Linked DNA regions of Nothobranchius furzeri. The protein of the gene in region 3 binds, or shares a complex with, the protein of the main gene of each other region. Links are inferred from orthologs where the notes say so. Each region holds a gene or a part of one and is shown on either strand. Other genes may lie near its edges.

Region 1 (3,648 bases), on a different chromosome or scaffold from region 3:
GTGTAGTCACATGACTCTACCCCAACAGTTCTGTGATAAGAAGGGAACTACAGTTAGGAAAATGAGTATGATTCAAATGTTGAAGCAGTGGGTGGGTGCACTGGGTAGCGGCCAGCGAATGCCAGCGGCAGCAACTGAATCCAAAATGTTGCCAAACTGTTAAAAGGTTTTTTGTAGGAACAGGCTTCTCCTCGACTAAATCTTTCTCGCCATCGCTGTCACTGTGAAGCTGTATGGGTGGTTATCGTCCATTTGCCGTTATCGAGGTGAAGTGCTCAGTATGTCATGATACTGATTTGTGGTCATATCACCCAGTCCCCGTTTGCACAAATATTATTCCCAATTATTGCTGGGAGCGTCGCTCCACGTCTCGGTAAACAAAAATGTTGGATGCTCAGCGATTTTGGTAGGTGGGAACTTGGAAGGTGAGGGGTGGTTCTATGTTAATTTACCGAATTGTTACATCACAATCGGGAAGTCTTTTTAATTGTCTCATTTTAGGCACATAATTCCTAAACCGAACAACTGAGAAAACAGACGAATGGGATTTTTTTGTTTCAGGTGTTTAGAAACCCACACGGCAGCACAAAAGACGCTAAAATAAGATTTTCTTATTTTCCTATTATTATTCTTAAAGACAACACAAAATGCTTCAGCAAATGAGAATATTGGAAATTAAATAGAAATGAAAGACATGCACACCAATCAAGCCCTAGTTTGCTTCAGATTAGACACAAGCAAACAAAAGTTTGTTAATGACGAGTCGATCCCATACTACCCAGAAAGAGATCAATTAAATCCATGTATTGATTTTATGTGATGTATGAATGTATCGGTGATGCTGTGCTGGGATAGAAGCCCTTGAAACCTCATGTCATGCACTCCATCTTTAGATCCCTCCAGTGTCATCCATCACTTTTTCATATTTTGTGCATTATCATGCAGAATGGTGTGGACATGGCACTCGTCCATTACCCGCGTGTTGGACATCTTTTCGCCTGCTTTGCATGCTCTGCTGCATGAGATTCACAAAACTGCTGGGCGTCCAACACTGCACAATTCTGATCCAATGGCAACTTGATCCAATGAGAACCGAGGCTAACGTCCAAATTGCTGCAGCAAAGCCTTTTCAGATCAGAGAAAATGCCTCTTAAGAGGTATCAAAGTCTCTTGTACAGCTAGGTTACACTGTTGGATATGCATGATGAGAGATTAAGGCTTAGAAAGAGCCCGACACAAAAATAAACAGAAAAAAGAACAAAAATATGAAGACTACTGAATTCAATACCCTCTCAGTAATCCTCTAAACAATGTCCTGAAGAAACCTGTGCACTCTTTGAAGGCCAAGGCTTTGCACTTTAGATGTGTAGTAAAATTTTCTGTCCTAAAACTCTTCAACAAACCTCACAAAAGGCAAAATTGCACAAATTAAAATACATCCATCAGAGAGATATGCTGACATAGTCACCTTGTACCAAATCTTTCAAGCAGCCTCTGACACAAAGACAACAGAAGCTGACTGCACTAAGTGACCTTAATCCATCAGAACATGCTTATATCGGGACCCTGATTCTATCTCAGGCATCAGATTGGATGAGACGTCTGTAAAAAGTTATCCAAAACCAACAAATGGTCAGCACTTTACTGGAAGAGCAGCTAATTAATTCTACTATTCAGCATCAGGAGTTGGAGCTTAGCTCAGCTTTCTGTCCAGCTAGCAGTGATGATTAAAATTAGGTTCATTAATCTCCCCTAACTTGAAAATAATGATAAAAATGAAAGCACTTGGCTCTAAATATTTTATTCTGTTTCAAATTTGATTCTGGAATGTTTGTTTCATGTGTCTCGCAAGTAATGTGTGGACAGCGAAAAGCGGGTCGTGTCATGATCACGTGTTCGCTGTAAATCTGAAAAAACTTTGGCGGCTGCTAGTCCGCTGGATTGATCACTGCAGCTCATTCCTGTTTTCTGTTGAGTTTACACCCTTGTCTGATAGTGGAGCCAACTGTGCACCAAACTATTTCCATTTTACTGTGAAATCAACTAACTTCAACCAATAAAAGGCTACAAAATGGCTTGTTTTGACTAGCATCAATGGATTTTCAACATGTGTAAACAGTGTTTCCACCATCTGTAATGGCAAAGGGGGTGGTCCCATGAGCGGCGTGACATCACATGCAAAGGGTAAATCATCAATCGTGTAATCGTTTCTGAAAAGAACATTATTGCACCAAATTATCAGCACCGTCTGACCACTAATGACCAAAAGCCCCCCGATCACAGCAGCATGTAAAAAGGAAACGACAACAGAGCTAAATGTAATTTAAATAATCTAAAAGTGCCCCGCCCTTTTGGTGTTTTGAACATTTCAAACAATATAGCAAAAAATTCTCCAGAAAAACATCTACGGGACTTTTAAACCACATAAATACAGTTTTTAAGTGTCTGCATCCTGAATAGAGGGAGGAAATGTATGAACAAAGTAAAATCTGAATCAGGAGCACGCCGACGATCAGCCTGGCAAGATGAAGAGTGTGATTTGTCTTTAATAGTCTTTGGTGTACAAACATGTTTGTAAAAGAAAAATCGATACAACCTGAGCAATTACCCATTTAAGAGGAAGTTATTTTCTTCAGTCAATAAAGAAATGCATTGACATTTATAAGCCCGGACTTTAGATCCATGTACGCGAGTGGAACTCGGTCAAACACATCTGCCACTGTCAAATGACTCAACTGAGAAAATTAACGCCGTACGTGTTGATGCCTGGAATACAAACGACACAATCTAGTCAGAAGTAGTTTTCTATAGAACGCGACAAGGCTTTCATGTAACTTAATTTTTAAAAGCAGTATAAGACTAATTGGCGTGATTCGTTTTGATTTGAAAAGCAGGAAATGATTTTTGTTCTTTAGGGTTGCTGCTGCACGCCGAGTCAGCGCCGTCTCCGTGGAGGCTTTCTTCATGCACAACTATTTAATTTAACCGTTTCTGTCTCCTGCAAGTTGTAATAAATTATACCCACTTTACTCTTCATTAGAGTCATATCACCACTGTGAACAAATAACACAGGTAAACTTTCTTCATTAAGTGAAGCTTTCTGAAATTAACGGCCTCCATCAAGATCTGAATAACAGTTGAGATGCAGAACCTTGTTCAGTCTTGCCGTGGTGTTTAACGCACAGATCAAACCAGTTTAACATTACAGGTAAATGCTTGTGAGACGTAAGTTACCTTGTCTCCATCCACTTTGCCCCTTATGAACTCCGACCTCCAGAACTGTAGAGCCTGCTCCAGAGAGAGGCCGATGCCTTTGAGGAAGAGACCGTACTGCATCCTCCCTCCGTGGCGAAGGTGGTGGTTCTCTCTAAGGGCCTGGTGGAGCTGCCTCATGCAGAGCGGGAATGATTTTCCTGAAAGCTAAAAGCCCTCAAATGTTAATGATTTGCATAAAGACATTTGCAGCAAACATGAATGTGTGCCTGTGAATGATTAGTAATATTAATAATAACACTGCTGTCATGGGAGGCACGGAAATCAATATTTTTTGGACCACCTTTGGCTTACATTGCAGCAACATTTTAATAGGCTTATGAAATGTCTTTTTCCATATCTGGGATACAAAATGAACCTTGAAGTTTGCGTTTC
Region 2 (4,420 bases), on a different chromosome or scaffold from region 3:
ATTCTTTCTCTATTTGCTCTGCTGTCTGGGCTGACCTACCTGATGGTGCGTGCGGCGCATCTAGCGGCTGTGATGCACATTTTACGCATTTGGAGAGGTGGGTTGGATGCTTTGCTTTACTGGCAGATGGATTTTTTTTTTTCAAAAATGTCGGAGATTTTGCCCCATGAATAACCGTTAAAACCACCGGTGTGCATGTACCCTTATGAAAGAGTCCTACGTTGAGAGGTAAATATTAGAAGTGCAGGTAATGCATTCTGGTGCCTATAAATGAAAAATGAATGAAACATATCTATATAAAAAGGCTGCGCAGCGGCACAGTCGTTAGAGCTTTTGCCTTGCAGCAAGAAGGTCCTGGGTTCGCTTCCCGGCCTGGGAACTTTCTGCATGGAGTTGGCATGTTCTCCCTGTGCATGCATGGGTTCTCTTCAGGTACTCCAGCTTCCTCCCACAGTTCAAAAACACGACTGTTAGGTTGATTGGTCTGTCTAAATTGTCCCTAGGTGTGTGTGTGTGTGTGTGTGTGTGTGTGTGTGTGTGTGTGTGTGTGTGTGTGTGTGTGTGTGTGTGTGTGTGTGTGTGATTGTTTGTCTTGTGTGTCTCTGTGTTGCCCTGCGATGGACTGGCTCTCTGTCAAGGATATACCCCGCCTGATTGCCCGTTGACCGCTGGAGATAGGCACCAGCCCCCACCCCCCCATTCGCAACCCTGCATGGACAAGCAGGTTCAGAAAATGGATGGATGGATCTATATAAAAATAACAAAAATACAGAGAACAAATAGATTAAACATACTCAACAATCAACTTCTTGTATAATTCTATTTAACCCAGCTCATCAACATAATGATCCAGTAGATGTTTTTTGTAGCTCTTGATTTACCTTTACACATTTTTTGCAGCATGGATAGTGATTGTAGATTACTCAGGTATGTGTTTCCCCAAACTTCCACACAGTAATTCAAGTATGGCATTACCAGTGATGAAAACAGATTTATCCTAAAGATATAATTTCGTATGTCACAAATTTGACTCAAAAAGTTTATTTTGAAATCACAGGTTGGTGCGGTTTCATAGTTCGCACCATTTAATTCCTGGTGGTTTTAGCCGCGCTTCCATGCGGGCGGAGTCTAGTAGCAATAAATACCTCGAATGTTAAAAATAGAAAAGGCCACATTGGTCAAACATTCATGCAAGCTATTTGAGATGTTAATATTGTTTTATATTGCATCTGTTTCTATTAGCGAAGTTTCCCCTCTCAGTTGATCACAAATACAACTTCCTCCCCGCTCGTTTTGACTTCCGCCCGGCGAATCAAAAGAAGCAAACCCTACCATCGACATAAATATACTGGACATCTCCATTCCAAAGTCAACCCAGGGCCAAAAACTTAACGCTTTATAGTCTTACTTTATTCACAGAAAACCTTGAGTTCCATTCAAGTTGAACTCTGTAATGTTATTTTAGTTTAGGAAAATAAATAAAACGTTTTCATGGTACTTCCTGTTATTTGTGACGTAGTTGTCGCAGTTGTTTGTCATCACTGTTTCTTTCGAGTTTTCCCGCGCTGTCCTTAGCTAACCAAGCTGTCAGCTTGACTGAAGAGCAGCAGTAACATATACCTAGCTGCACATTAGCTTGGCTTTACTACATTATAATGCCATCTTCAGACTACGACTCCGCTTGTCTGCCGGACTTATTACCGCTGTACTACCGACGACTGTTCCCCTTCTACCAGTATTACCGCTGGCTTACCTACGGAGGAGGTAACTTCACAAACAGACCAGAACCACGAGCAAGCGTCAGACCGGGCTGTTAGCTTGTCTTCTGTGATTTAACTAGCTATATATGTAATTAGGCTAGCTAGCCTTCTATGCTGAACTTCAGGGTTTGTGGATTTTACGTTTGCTTCCCCCTGTGTAACATTTGAGATGTATTTACAACTGTTACAGAGCTTTTCAGAGCGTTTGACTTATGTTACGTTTAAACAAGGATTCACTTTAGTAAGACAGCTGCTAATTTATTTAAGGAAAGCAGCTTGTTCCCAGTATTCAAGAGTTGATGAAGACCTGAAAAAAACAACAATAAAGCCTGGGTAGTTAAACGTCACCGTATTTTATTGCACTGATAAATTCAGATAAGATTAAGTAAAATTTTTCTGGAAGACGTTGATTTTATTAGTAATGAAACTTTACAGCGATTATTTTATATGTGATATTTAAACAAAAGTTTGTCACTCATTAGAAAAGAGACAGATTTTGCTTGATTGCCTTTATGAAATAAACACATACAGTGTTTATTTGTCCATTTTCCCACATTCTCAGTGCAGAAGAACTACTTCCAAAACCGAGAGTTCTGCTTCACGCTCAAAGATGACATCTACGTGCGCTACCAGTCTTTCAGCACGCTGAACGAGCTGGAGAAGGAAATGCAGAAGATGAACCCTTATAAGATTGATATTGGAGCAGTGTACAGTCACAGGGTAAGACTTTATTCTGGATCAAATCATGTTTACTATCGTGTAAGTGTAGTAAAGTCACTGTTTGTCATCAACAGCCTAATCAACACAACACGGTGAAGTCCGGCAGCTTCCAAGCTCTAGAGAAGGAACTTGTGTTTGATATTGATATGACAGATTATGATGATGTCCGAAGCTGCTGCAGGTGATTATTTCTAGTTCTGAGCCTGTTCAGAGTGTTCTGGAGGACAATCTACCAAAATGACCTTTTCAAACTTCGATCCAGTGCTGCAGACATTTGCACCAAGTGCTGGACGCTGATGACCATTGCTATCCGCATCTTGGACAGAGCGCTCAGAGGTGTGTCCCTGGTCTTATGTCAGGCATGTGTTTATTTTGAATCAAATCAGATTGACATTTTTTATGTTTCTCCCAGAGGACTTTGGCTTTCAGCACCTGCTGTGGGTTTATTCTGGCAGAAGGGGAGTTCATTGTTGGGTGTGTGATGAAGCTGCCCGGAAGCTCTCTGCTGCAGCACGCTCTGCTGTGGCTGAATATCTCAGCCTGATCAAGGTAGCAATGGTTTTACCGGTATTAGGTGATTTTAAAGCAAAACTCCAAGATTATTTAAGTCTTTTAAGCAGTCCTAGAATTTAAAACCACATTTATCTGGTTGTTGTTGTTGGATAAAGGCAGCTTGGGGGTGTCTAGTGTAGCATACCAAAATGTCTGTGCTGTTGCTGACCTGCTTTCCTATGTAAATTAATAATGCTGTAACGGCCACAGAGAAATGGTTCGTTTGGAGAAAAGCTGGTTTAACACGTCATTAGCACGACACACACCCTAAAATCTGCAGGTCCCAACCTAATCATTGGTCATGATTAGGGGTGTGATGGTTCACGGGGCGGTGTTGAACCGTTTCAGTTTGGTCCACTTGCGTATTGTTTTGGTTTAACAAAGAAGAATGTTGGAGCACCAATCACATTCCAGGATATAATGGGAGTATCCAGATTGTGAATGAATGAATGCTAGATTAATCCATAGCCTGCAATCTGGTCTAACAGAGTACAGCCACACACACACACACACACACACACAGACAGATAGGCAGATCGATCCACATCTTGCAGTCCTTGTTCTCCTGCTTGTTTATCTGCAAAACCTGCTCCTCAACCCATTTGAATCTCTCTTTGGAAAACACTCACTTCTTTACTCGTTTGTCTGCACTGATAGTAACACACACACACACACTCACACACAGGTCACAGACTTACTTGCTTCAAGAAATAAAGCTATTGGGGTGCGTTGGTCAATTTTTCTGGGTTCCTGAGCCCCAACAAAGTTTCATGGGATATATTAAGGCTCAAATAATAGTTTCCAATCGTTAAAAAAATTACTTTTATCTAGAACCCCTTTAAAGTTCAAATTCAAAGCCACTTAACAGCTGCTCCCATAACTAAAAGCTGCTTATTTATTGGTTTCTGACTAACATACAGTACAGTTGTATGTCCAGATGTGATTTCTAAATGTAACCTTTTAGGGTGGTGAAGATACTGTGAAGAAAGTAGTGCTGACAGATCCAATTCACCCCTTTATCAGGTAAATATACGTTTGACTGTTGTTTTTGTCATTGCTGCTTCTGTTTGTGGCTTCAGCTGTGTCTAATCCCACCAGAGAGTCTTTGGCAGTGGTGGAGCACTTCTTCCCTCAATACGCGCTGCAGGATCAGGACATACTGGCCCGCAAAGAGTCTGTAGACAAAGTCCTGGCTCTAGTTCCTGATGATATCCTTTCTCTAACGTGCTTGCTCAGTAATTTCCTGAATATGAAAACCAGCTGAATTGATATGATTTTTAAAAAGCAGTGATAATTATGAGGCCTTAATTTGTTCTGTACATGTAAAAAAAGAGTTACAGCAGGACTTCCAGAATGAGAAGAAATCAGATGTTCGTTGGAAACTGATC
Region 3 (3,648 bases):
AATTGTTGCAACAGACTTCCTGAATAAAAGAAATGGTTTAAAAATAGTTGCGGCTCTGAAGCGCTCGTCATCCAAACAACTGCGTATGCATTTCCTGGTTAAAGTTGAAGCCATAAATGGTAATTTAGGTATTATTCTGCCACCACACATCACTTTTTTCTCTCTGCACAGTGTGATCTCTGGCTGAAAATGTCAGCCCGCTGCCCTGCTGAGGTCTAACATCTCTGTGATGGCGTCTCTTAACATTACTGCATCTATTGCAACCCCTGTTGAGTTAAACACAGTTTAAACATTTCATACAGACACAAAGACATTTTATTATAACACACACTTTTTTTTTGCTCCGACCGTTTCAGCTTTTTTTTGTCCAGATGAGACCAAATTAATTCAAGAGTTTATGGATATTAATACTTATTGTGCTGCTGGGGTCTGCATGGAGCCTCTGTGGACTCAAATCCCATCAAATAAGAGTTTACGTGAGGATATCAGCGAGTTTAAACTACGGCTGTTCCGAGTGAACAAATTATGGAGTTACAGGTTAATCCAGAATTGCTTTATCCTCACTAGGGTCGCGAGGTCATTGGCTGAGAGGCCAGGGACATCCGGGACATAACGACATGCCAGTCCATCACAGGGACACGGAGACAAACGCACCAAGGAGAAGGGGCCTTGCCTGTAGAACGGCCTGGGAGCAGCTGACTTTTGAATGGAAAAAAAAAACTAAACATATCAGTTTACCTGTGTTTTGTTTATTCATTTAATAACTTTTACCAAGTCTTAACTCATTCTATTCTTTAATTGGGTGTTCTTTTTAGGAAAATTTGAGCAAAAACTGTTTTGCACCTTCTTATTTTACCTTTATATTAAGTTTCAAGGTAATAATAGTAAATCTCATTTTATTTAAAAAACTGGATTTTAATTTATTTTATAAAATACTTTTGGGATGTATTAACTGGTTGATCTAAATTTTGTGACCTCATTAATAAAATAGTTCCTTCCCATTCACTGCTTTTTTAATCCTTTAAAACTTAAAAAAACTTTTTTTTCTTAGTTATAAAAGTTTTATGGTTGATGAAGAACATTTGATTCAGTACTTTGCACTAAATCTCTGTCAAATTAAGCAACTCCAGCAGTTTTTTAACTGAACTTTTTCACTACCTTCCAGAATGAGTTGTTTCTTGGCTCTGTCACTTTAAAGGGACTTTACGGAGTTTTGAATTTTTATGCTCGCGATTGCCCCCTCGGGCCAAAAGCGTAACGGCAGCTTCAATAGTAGGCTCGTGCACGAGGCGCGCATGCTGTACGTGCACACTCCTTAACGAAAATAACAGCTGAGACAGTCAGCTCCATGTGTGTGTGTGTGTGTGGCCCGGAGGACAGGGGACAGGAGAACGCGCAGCTAATTAATTAAATAATTTGGTTCTGTACCTTTCTCTTCAGCACAGCCGACAAAGGTTTATGATGGGTCAGTCCTCCGGCATGCTCTTGAAAAATTGTTCCGAAAGGAAAGTTGAACCCACATCTTTTTATCTGTGAATTCAATGCCGTTCGGCGAGTCTCAAACAAAAATTTGGGCATCTTACTGTAAAAAATATACCATTAATGTAAAAAAGAAACTCTAAATAAACTATGTTCACATCCAGAATCGAACCCGGTCTTCTGCACGAAAGTCTGACGTCTTACTAGGCGAGCTAACGCGCTAGTGACGTCACTTGAATCAGTACCACTTAAGAATGGTTCGGAGGGCTATGCCTGAGCGTGAACGCGCATGGCCTGTATTTGTATTTGATATAGCGCCTTCTAGAGTCCTGGAAACCCCCCAAGGCGCTTTACAACACAATCAGTCATTCACCCATTCACACACACATTCACACACTGGTGGGGATGAGCTACGATGTAGCCACAGCTGCCCTGGGGCGCACTGACAGAGGCGAGGCTGCCGAGCACTGGCGCCACCGGTCCCTCCGACCACCACCAGCAGGCAATGTGGGTTAAGTGTCTTGCCCAAGGACACAACGACAGCGACAGACTGAGCGGGTCTCGAACCTGCGACCTTCCGATTGCGAGGCGAGCACTTAACTCCTGTGCCACCGTCGCATGAAGCAGCCTGCTCGACCCGAGCATCTCTCTTTTCTGTGATTTTACAGAAAAACAGGCAATCACAGTAAAAATGCCAGGGCTCATTCTGCAGGACCAGGGCATTGCAGGAGAATGTATGAAGAAGACATTTATTATTTCTATACATGTTATGGCTGTCAAACTTCCATAATGCCCCTTTAAGAAAACAAGCTGGAGTTGGCCACACCCACCCATTTCCCATTTAGCTGCTACAAGCCAAGAGACTCAGTAGAGCCGCTGCTCCTGCAGCAGCAGCTCTCTTACATGCAAGACTTCCCTGTTTGTGACATCACAAATGGGGACTTTTAGAAATTTGTTTAGGCTTATAATTCCTAAAACCAAACACTAACGGATGAGATTTTTCACATTTAAAGTGTTTACAGAGGCAGTAGAGACCCATGTGGCAGTGCAAAATGCAAAAGGTGATTTTTGGATCACATGTCCCTTTTAAATGATGATAATGATGAAGCTCTCAGCGGTCCTCACTACTGGTCCTGGAGAGCTGGTATACAGCTTGTTTTAGCTTTAACTCTGCTTCAACACACCTGATTTCAATCAACAAATGATTAACAGGCTTCTGAAGCACCTGATGGCCTGTTGAACAGGTGATTCAACCACCGAATTAGGTGTATTGGAGCAGAGAAACAAGGAAAACATGCTGGATACCAGCTCTACAGGCCCAGGAGTGAGGACAACTGAGCTAACTCCATGCAGAAAAGCTAAAGCTGGGACTCAAACTTGCAAACACGCAGCCCAGCTAACGAAGCATTTTGCTAATCACTCACAGAGTAGTATTTTTTGACGTGCCGGCGGATATCCAGAAGCAGCCTGTTGCTGATGTTGACGACGTAGTCGATTGGTCGACTCCCACAGGGGATGTGACGGCAGCGCGTCAAGCTGGGCTCCACTCTGTCACCCTGAAACAAAACACACCCGTCTAGTTAATATTCTGCCAGAGTTTTGGTGTTTTTTTTTTTTTTTTTTAATCGTAGATTAGTCCCATAATTGGTGCATTAAACAGCTTCTTCGTGTTGACGTCTTGTTTTAATCCAGGTTGGACGATGACTGTAGAGGTCATGTCAAGACTATAAATCTCTCTCTCTCTCTCTCTCTCTTCTCTCTCTCTCTCTCTCTCCTCTCTCTCTCTCTCTCTCTCTCTCTCTCTCTCTCTCTCTCTCTCCCTCTCTCTTCTCTCTCTCTCTCTCTCTCTCCCTCTCTCTCTCTCTCCTCTCTCTCTCTCTCTCTCTCTCTCTCTCTCTCTCTCTCTCTCTCTCTCTCTCTCTCTCTCTCTCTCTCTCTCCTCTCTCTCTCTCTCTCTCTCTCTCTCTCTCTCTCTCTCTCTCTCTCTCTCTCTCTCTCTCTCTCTCTCTCTCTCTCTCTCTCTCTCTCTCTCTCTCTCTCTCTCTCTCTCTCTCTCTCTCTCTCTCTCTCTCTCTCTCTCTCTCTCTCTCTCTCTCTCTCTCTCTCTCTCCTGCATAAATACCGAGCGTGTATTAGGGGTTGTATGAACTAGTCGACTTCACGGCTCTG

What was found.
Region 1: the proteins of pola1 (region 3) and prim2 are in contact, whole or in part, in a cryo-EM structure (PDB 8G9F), measured with the Xenopus laevis proteins. The link is inferred for Nothobranchius furzeri from reciprocal best matches to the Homo sapiens genes POLA1 and PRIM2. Residues at the interface, in NP_001082055.1 of Xenopus laevis: Leu842, Lys853, Ile894, Pro895, Glu896, Leu971, His974, Arg977, Glu978, Leu981, His982, Glu985, Gln988, Lys989, Asn991, Glu993, Asn1007, Asn1009, Arg1101, Asp1102, Glu1106, Gln1109, Glu1221, Asp1224, Gly1225, Asp1227, Ala1229, Leu1230, Met1233, Trp1234; in XP_018121015.1 of Xenopus laevis: Pro34, Pro35, Thr36, Glu37, Asn38, Ile39, Ser40, Leu41, Ile42, Phe44, Glu45, Ile49, Ile107, Phe110, Ile111, Leu114, Cys117, Gln118, Ser119, Glu120, Asp121, Arg123, Ala240, Arg241, Leu243, Val245, Val246, Gln247, Arg251, Leu252.
Region 2: the proteins of pola1 (region 3) and prim1 are in contact, whole or in part, in a cryo-EM structure (PDB 7OPL), measured with the Homo sapiens proteins. The link is inferred for Nothobranchius furzeri from reciprocal best matches to the Homo sapiens genes POLA1 and PRIM1. Residues at the interface, in NP_058633.2 of Homo sapiens: Tyr439, Ala440, Pro447, Glu448, Lys449, Ser450, Phe876, Thr877, Thr878, Gln880, Leu906; in NP_000937.1 of Homo sapiens: Asn92, Thr93, Val94, Lys95, Leu96, Gly97, Ala98.

The regions. Positions count from the first base shown.
Region 1 is NC_091752.1:19,604,013-19,607,660, forward strand, and holds part of prim2 (DNA primase large subunit), read right to left. Parts: intron 3,421-3,648; coding exon 3,235-3,420; intron 1-3,234. UniProt on the Homo sapiens protein: Regulatory subunit of the DNA primase complex and component of the DNA polymerase alpha complex (also known as the alpha DNA polymerase-primase complex) which play an essential role in the initiation of DNA synthesis.
Region 2 is NC_091755.1:56,472,091-56,476,510, forward strand, and holds the start of prim1 (DNA primase small subunit), read left to right. Parts: upstream 1-1,532; 5' UTR 1,533-1,655; coding exon 1,656-1,764; intron 1,765-2,322; coding exon 2,323-2,480; intron 2,481-2,554; coding exon 2,555-2,661; intron 2,662-2,742; coding exon 2,743-2,816; intron 2,817-2,892; coding exon 2,893-3,029; intron 3,030-3,996; coding exon 3,997-4,055; intron 4,056-4,130; coding exon 4,131-4,240; intron 4,241-4,352; coding exon 4,353-4,420. UniProt on the Homo sapiens protein: Catalytic subunit of the DNA primase complex and component of the DNA polymerase alpha complex (also known as the alpha DNA polymerase-primase complex - primosome/replisome) which play an essential role in the initiation of DNA synthesis.
Region 3 is NC_091747.1:54,858,518-54,862,165, forward strand, and holds part of pola1 (DNA polymerase alpha catalytic subunit), read right to left. Parts: intron 3,036-3,648; coding exon 2,904-3,035; intron 1-2,903. UniProt on the Homo sapiens protein: Catalytic subunit of the DNA polymerase alpha complex (also known as the alpha DNA polymerase-primase complex) which plays an essential role in the initiation of DNA synthesis.